2 linked regions of the Arabidopsis thaliana genome follow. The protein of the gene in region 2 interacts with the protein of the main gene of each other region in a pairwise test. Each region holds a gene or a part of one and is shown on either strand. Other genes may lie near its edges.

Region 1 (4,039 bases), on a different chromosome or scaffold from region 2:
GTAAAAAGAGGAGACAGAGTCAGACAATGAAGTCATCACCAAATCTATAAACACATGCATTAATGCTTTTACGTGTCCGTATCACACTCGTGTTTCCCACTAAATGCTCACTCATTTATTGAACCATCGTCTAATTAATGCTTTTGATAACTTAAATGCATGGAGGAGTGTCCTTCGCCCAATATTTCAAAAAAAGGAGAGAGCTCACTCAATTCTCTTGACGCACGAGTTTTGGACCTAATAATCGCTGACCTCATCAGCAACAAAGAAAAACAGCTACACTACAAAGACTTTTCTTTCACCAATCCAACATCAAATAATGATTGCTTCTTGTTTCTCTTTTATTAGATATCCAAGAATTCGTAAATAAAAAAGAACAAACCAATCATCCATAAACCTTTAGTTTAAAGTTCACTTTGCGAGTTTTTTACTTTAATTCATTATAGTTTCGTTTAATCAGTCAAATTAAAGGTCTTCAGTTATCTGATCAAATATGGAAGAAGAGGCTTATCCATAAGTGGAAGAAGGTGACGAAATATTAGATAGACAAACACCAAATCGAGACGCTTATTGTCTGGATGAAAAAATTGTAAGTTAGATGATTGTGTAATATTCTAAGCAATTCTACAACAAACACACAAGAAAGACAAGTTTCCTTCTTGCGCAAACCATGGAAGAAGTAACATTGACAGATACAAACATATCTCATCGAAACACAAATAAAACGAAATTGTCTATTTCTTGGCATACGTGATGAGCATCTGGTTTTGCTGAATCTTGAAACCTTGAAGTCCCTGCATTGCGACCGTCGACTGCATCTCATCAGCAAACTCCACAAAGGCGATTCCCGGTTTGGCTTCAATCATTCTAACTTCCTTAAATCCTTGGTACTGGCAGAACAACATCTGAAGCACCATTGGAGTTGTCTCGTGAGGAAGGTTTTGGACAAAGAGAATATTATTTGGCGGAGCTGGTGCCTCGGGCATATTGGGTTTCATACCACCAGGGTATGGTACTTGCGATAGCTGTGAAAAGCGTGGCAATAAGAACGATCATCAGAATACAGGAAAAGAATTAAGAGCGTCCCCCAAACGTATGAATCAAGATTAGAGTTAAGAAGATGTTGAAATAACTCACAGGAGGTGCAGCTCCATAGACACCTGGATATGCTGAGTTCATGGGCATGCCCATCTGTGTAGAATCATGGTGCTGGTCTTTCTTTTTCTTGCCGCCTCCTGCACTTCCAAAGACGATATTTAGATGCGAAAACAAACTGTTTGTAGGTTGTGGAGAAGCAATGTGAATGTGATGTGACTACTAATGATCAAATGCAGAATGTGGGAATGAGAAACAGAGCAATAAATCTCATGTACACATATGCAGTAATGGTCAAAGTGAGCCAATGAAGCAATGAAGTAAAAAAAAAGTGTCACCTTTCTCCTCATGTCTCTTTCTCTTCTCGCGAGGAACAAATGTACCATCGGCCTTGGCAACAACATCTGATTTTGTTTTGGCATATTGTATTCTCTGTCCACATTGTTAAAGTTAGGAATTAATAATATAGCAAAGTGATTGATAAGTATTTCCACAACCTAAAACATGGTCAATAACCTAAAAGCAACCACTAAACATATAAAGGGTCTTTCAAATAGAATCCATGTGGTTCACTAAGAAAAGCTCTCTAATCAGTAGATTCAAACCCTAATTAGGTGTTCCACTAACTCTAGGGGCAAATAGGCAAACCAAAACACATCGAGTAAGAAGAAGTTATCAAGAAAGTAACTGGAGTGGAAGGAATTGGTACCATCTCCTTGTCGTAGAAAGGAAAATTATTCATTTTAGCAATAGCAGTGGAAGCAGACTCGGTGTTGTCGAAGACTACCCAAGCTTGTCCTTTGTGCTTAAAGGTCTTAAACGCCAATATCTCCAGTATCTTCCCGAACTGAGAGAACACTGCATTCAGCGATTTCTTCAGCTCTGTAGAACAAAGTTACCAATAACAACAATGAAGAGATCAATCAACTCAAATCGGAGGAGAAGAAGAAGATATACGAGACGATAAAACAAAAAAAAAAAAAAAAAAAAAATTAAGTACCATCAAGCTTCACTTTTTCGTTGAGATTGTTGATGTAAATCGTCTGATTCGGAGAAACCTCCGATCCTCCTCCTTGATTAGCCTCTTGCATCTCCATCGTCTTCACCAAATCTCTCCGTCGAATTCGGAGAAGATTATTAGCCGGAACCACCCAAAATCGAATTAATAAAAAAAAGTGAGGTTTAACTCTGTTCCTCCTAAAGCCCTAATAAGCCCATCAGTTAGCCCAATATTCTTATTAGTGGGCCGATTAATATATTTAGCCCATCAAAAACCCTAAACTGATACATATTATTAGTAGTTTCACTTCTTATCTTCACTCCCAAGCAATCTTCGGTTCTGCTTCTTTCTAGATTTTGACTCTCACTTTGGGCTTCTTCTGTGTGTTTCATCATTTTAGGGTATCGATTTGATAGCCGGAGGTAAGAGCAAGAAGACGAAACGTACTGAGCCTAAATCCGACGATGTCTATCTCAAGCTCCTTGTCAAGGTTGAGGATTTGACTAAAAATCCGTCAGAGATTAAATTTTTTTTTTTTTTAGGCGAACCGATATCTGGTGAGGAGAACAGAAAGCAAGTTCAATGCCGTGATTTTGAAGCGTTTGTTCATGAGCAAAGTGAACAAAGCGCCACTGTCTCTCTCTCGTCTGGTCCGATACATGGACGGAAAGGTTTGAATTTTGTTGTTGTTTAGGTTGTTACTGCATTGAGTTCGATGTTATGTTACTTGGTGGCGACTCATGAACTAATGCTCTGTGTGTTTGATTTTATTAGGATGGAAAGATTGCTGTTATTGTTGGTACTGTGACTGATGATGTTAGAATCGAAGATGTTCCGGCTCTTACAGTTACTGCATTGAGGTTCACTGAGAGCGCTAGAGCTAGGATCCACAAGGCTGGTGGAGAGTGCCTCACTTTTGATCAGCTCGCTCTTCCGTGCCCCACTTGGTCAGAGAACACGGTATATCCCATTCTTGTTTCACTCTTAGTTCAGTTGTCGAAATGTGGAAACTTGTGCTAATCGTTTACTTGTTCGTGACGTATGTAGCTTAGTTCAGTTACTATGTCTCGTTTCATGATGATTGGAATTTGAGGTTACTGTCCTAACTTTCAAAATCTAGTGGCTTGTAAGCCTTTGTTTAAAAGGCTATCTCGATGAAAATTAGAGAATATCTATCTCGAGGACCACTTGTACTCAGTTTACAAGGGTTATATTTTCACTTTTTATTATTGCAGTAGCGATTGATGTAGCATTCCGTAATGATTGCAGGTTCTGCTTAGAGGTCCTAAGAACACACGTGAAGCAGTGAAGCACTTTGGACCAGCTCCTGGTGTGCCTCACAGCCACACCAAACCGTATGTACGTCAAACTGGTAAAAAAATTGAGATAGCAAGAGGAAGAAGAAGGAGCAGAGGTTTCAAGGTCTAAGCCTAGCTACGAAACTTCATGGTCAGTCTGTGTATGACTTGAGTTTATCTTTTAACTATTATGGATTATACTTTTACATTGCTATAATGATATATATATATGAAAACTAAGTAGGAGAAAATCTTTCTCTCTTTTAGTTCTGCTTTTGCTCCTTATAGTATTTGATTTGATTAGTTATCATAAATGGCAAATTGGATTTCTGATGAACTAGAGTAATACTTGAAATTTTTCTGAAGTAATCGGTTACCTTTCGACTTTCAAAACTTGTCTTTTCCTTTTTTATTTGCGCATTATCGGGTTTTGGATTAGATCAAATGTTTGATCCTTTTTCATTTGGGTAACTCTCTTTGTCAATACCTTTAATTGATCCAAAAGATCTTCTCACGCTATGATTAGATTGTGTAAGTGAAGAACGTACGTTGGGTTTCCTCATCTTTGTAATGTCTAAGATATTGGCGTCAGTCACTGTCTTTCTTTCTGATTGCTAATAAGTAAGCTGGTACGTGTTATTGTTCC
Region 2 (3,796 bases):
ACTCCCCAACTTCAACAACATTTCCACTTCAAAATCGAAATCATAGTATTTTTTTCTGACGAAAAAAAAAAAAAAATCAGCTTATTATCCCTATTATTGTGGGTTTATTTATCCATTTAGTTTTTCACTTAGAAAAAATCTTAGCTGACTTGGTAAACACAAAAAAAAAAAACAGATTTTGAAAATAATCTTTTAATAGATTTTCTTTCTTACAAATTCCAAATGATATTGTTCATTGGAATTATACACCTATATTAATCTCGATGGAGAACTCGATTACAACAATTTTGTTGTTGGAGATCCCGTATATCTTTCCCAAAAATTATTTTTGAAAATTTAAACAGATTTCTCTAAATCCATATTATTCTCAATATTCCAAAAAACAAAAAAAAAACAACCCGTAGATCTCTCCCAAACAAACAAATTCTTGAAAATTCACATAAACTTTTAATTATCTAAATCCATATTATTCTCAACGTTTTTTCCCCCAAAAAAAACAAACAAAAAGAAACACTCCACATAAAAAGTTATTAAACTGATTCACCAATACATGCATATATACAAAACTTTCCCAAAAAAAAAAGAAGAAAAAAAAATGATCATCAACGTTAATCAGTAAGAAAAATATTTCAACCATATTAAATACTCTTCATAGATACATATAGCTATATATACATCATATAAAACAAATTATACATCCACATTTTTATATTAAGCTTAATGTTAAATTGTTACGATAATATATGTAGAGAGGATGCTAATGGATCATTTCCACTTCTTTCGTCCGAACATGCCTTTGCCTCGTTTCCCTCCGAACATGCCATGCTTGCTTCTTTTGCCTCCGAACATACCGTGCTTGCCACGCTTGTACTTCCCTCCACCAAACATACTATGCTTTCCTCGCTTGTACTTTCCTCCTCCGAAAAACCCTCTTTTGTATTTTCCGTGGCCGTGGTGCCCGTAGCCTCCGTGATGACCCGCATGGTGACCTCCCATTGCAGCCGCTGCCGCTGTTGCCGCTCCTGCTATCAATCCCCCAACTCCTCCTCCAAACCCTGTTATATTCACATGAGGAGAGCATTCAATCAAAGGTTACTTGGCATGTGAACCTATCAAACCAAATTGGGCTTATAAAACTAGACCAACATTATTTATAATCCATATTAAAACATTGTAGCATTATTTATAATCCATACTAAACTGAACCAAAGCCATGTTGACAAAAAAAAAACACTGAACAAAAGCCACATTCTTCTATGTTTCTAAATTAAACAAAACAAAAAAACATTTTTAACTGAACAAAAAGCCACATATATTATATCATAAAAAGAATTTAATCAATTATTCATCAAGACATTAATTATTTTACTATTGGTTTCTTTTTGGTTGATATAACCCGCAAGAAACTTTCTTTAAATTCTTGTTCGAATTTGAAAAACTTAGAAAATCAAAGCATAAATCATTTATTATCATTTTCGTTAAAACCAAGCTTTACTTTTTGGAATTGCACATCGCATAACGCAAGATTTGGTTAAAGAACCTATTTTGGCTTTTGAATGAACCAAGATTAACTATATGCATCCCTTTAAAGAAACATTTTGTCTTCTCATAATATTTTTGAGAACTATACTATATAAAACACCACTCAAAACAAACACCAATCGGACTAATTTGTTAATAGCAAGGGCGTTTAACTAAGACTAAGAGACATAACCACATAAGACAACATTTTTGATTAAATAATAACCTGGACGAGGACCGGATGGTCCGGGATACCCGGCGGGAGGATAAGCACCGGGTGGAGGTGGGTAAGCGGCCGGTGGATAGCCGTGAGGTGGTGGAGGATAACCTTGCGGAGGGTAACCTCCCGGTGGAGGATAAGCTCCCTGCGGTGGAGGAGGATAAGCTCCTGGCGGATACCCATGGCCGTGATGATTATGATGTGAGAAGAATCTTTTGTCTTGTTCGTGGTGGTCGTCTTTACCCATCTTTAATTAAAATCAAGAACTTGAGAGATAATAAGATGATATGAATAGAGAGAGATACAAGATATGGAAAAATGAACTATATACTATGTTATGTTTAGACACATACATGTGTGCGATATTTGGTTATGTGTAGCGAAAAAGGCTCTTAGCTATTGATTTAAACCGAAATGGACGCGTTGATGCTTGCTCGTTTTAACAACGCATTCTTATTCCTCTTCTGATCATGACACGTTTCTTCTCCATCAGAGGATAAAATAATTGTGACCATTCATATGCATTAAACAATAATAACGAAATCGTTGCTCACACGACACATTAGACTATTAGAGCAGAAAGCCATCAAAGATTAGAGAGAGGAGTAATTTCACAAAATCAAACAATATTAAGATAAAATGGTCAAACTACATAATATTCTCCGGTAGATGGATCAAAAGAGAGTTATTGTTTTGGTTTGTTAACATACCAAAGTTCAAACGGGTTTAGAGTTTCATATACAACCCGAAATGAACCACAAAAGCCAAACCATTTCTTCTTAGATAGATACAACTACGTTAGATAAACATCACCAAATCAGACGGATTTAGGGAAATGTGGTGAGAGGAGCTTCATGATCTCTGTGATTCCGACTTTGTCTTTGCCATCGAAAATCGTCTTCAACTTATCATCGCAGTGAATCTCCTTCTTGTTCGCCGGATTCTACAATGAGGCAAGAAATGAATCACTCAAACAGAAACTATGAATAATCCAGAAAACAGAGAAGTTTATGGTCTACATTAGCTGCTTGTTGTTTACATTGAACAACCAATTCAACATATAGACATCATCTGTGTGTATTACATTAAATAGACTAATTCCAAAACTCAAAGAACACTACAATTCCAAGTTCTCTAAGATAATGACCAACACAACAATCCAAGTAATCTTCACAACCAAACCCACAAGATGCTTCATGTATATAGTCAAAACCAAACAATCCATTCTCAACCACAAGATAACATGCATTTTACTCAAGATCCATGTTCTACATAACAATCAAATCATCCGCCACTAAAATGCTTAATCGATTTAGTTTACATGCAACAATTCCTTCTCTAAAGCAACCAAATCCCTAAGTTCATAAACAGATCTACGCAAAGTAAAAACCTTAGAAAGCTCCAAAATCAAACAAACCTGGAGATTGTGAAGCTTCACATACTCCCAAACTTTCTTCAGAGCGGAACCACGAGTGAGTTCCCTTTCTCCGGCGAAGCTAGCTAGCTGCTGTGACACCGGACGAGTCTTGAATATCCCTTTTCCTTCTCCGGCTACAGTAACGGCCTCAACAGTCGCCGCCTTCGACATCAGTGTCCTGAACCCTCCCAAAACCCTAGAAATTCCCGCCATTTTTTATTTCCGAAAAGAGAAACAAACAACGACTAGAGAAGAAGCTAAAACCCTAACAACAGTCAAATAGAGAAAAATTCGGCGAGAGAGACAAGAAAGACTCTTAAAAGAAGATCGCTAAACTCATTTTGGGCCTTTCATAAACTATGGGCCTATTTGGGCTTCATAAAAAACGAAATATTTAGGATGTTTTATCGAAATTAAAGGTAAATGTAAGAGCTAATGTGCAATTTAAGAAGATAGCTAAAATTCAGTTTGGGCCTATTTGGGCTTCAGAAAAAAGAGAAATAATTAGGATGTTTATCGAAAATAAAGGTAAAATGTAAGGGTTAATATGCAATTTAAAATGAACTTTTAGTCTTCGGTGACAAACGGCACCGTTTAATAGTTTGATGCCGGTCGCTATTCGTACATGGCGGATGCTC

What was found. The genes of interacting proteins can lie anywhere in the genome.
Region 1: the proteins of AT1G31750 (region 2) and U1A interact in a two-hybrid assay, tested with the Arabidopsis thaliana proteins (one large-scale study listed by BioGRID).

What each region holds. Positions count from the first base shown.
Region 1 is NC_003071.7:19,515,382-19,519,420, reverse strand, and holds U1A (spliceosomal protein U1A), read right to left. Parts: upstream 2,235-4,039; 5' UTR 2,193-2,234; coding exon 2,096-2,192; intron 1,978-2,095; coding exon 1,805-1,977; intron 1,528-1,804; coding exon 1,434-1,527; intron 1,236-1,433; coding exon 1,138-1,235; intron 1,026-1,137; coding exon 735-1,025; 3' UTR 508-734; downstream 1-507.
Region 2 is NC_003070.9:11,370,044-11,373,839, forward strand, and holds AT1G31750 (proline-rich family protein), read right to left. Parts: upstream 2,155-3,796; 5' UTR 1,989-2,154; coding exon 1,748-1,988; intron 1,056-1,747; coding exon 766-1,055; 3' UTR 542-765; downstream 1-541. Other genes in the region: AT1G31760 (SWIB/MDM2 domain superfamily protein), read right to left, coding at 2,559-2,684, 3,159-3,371.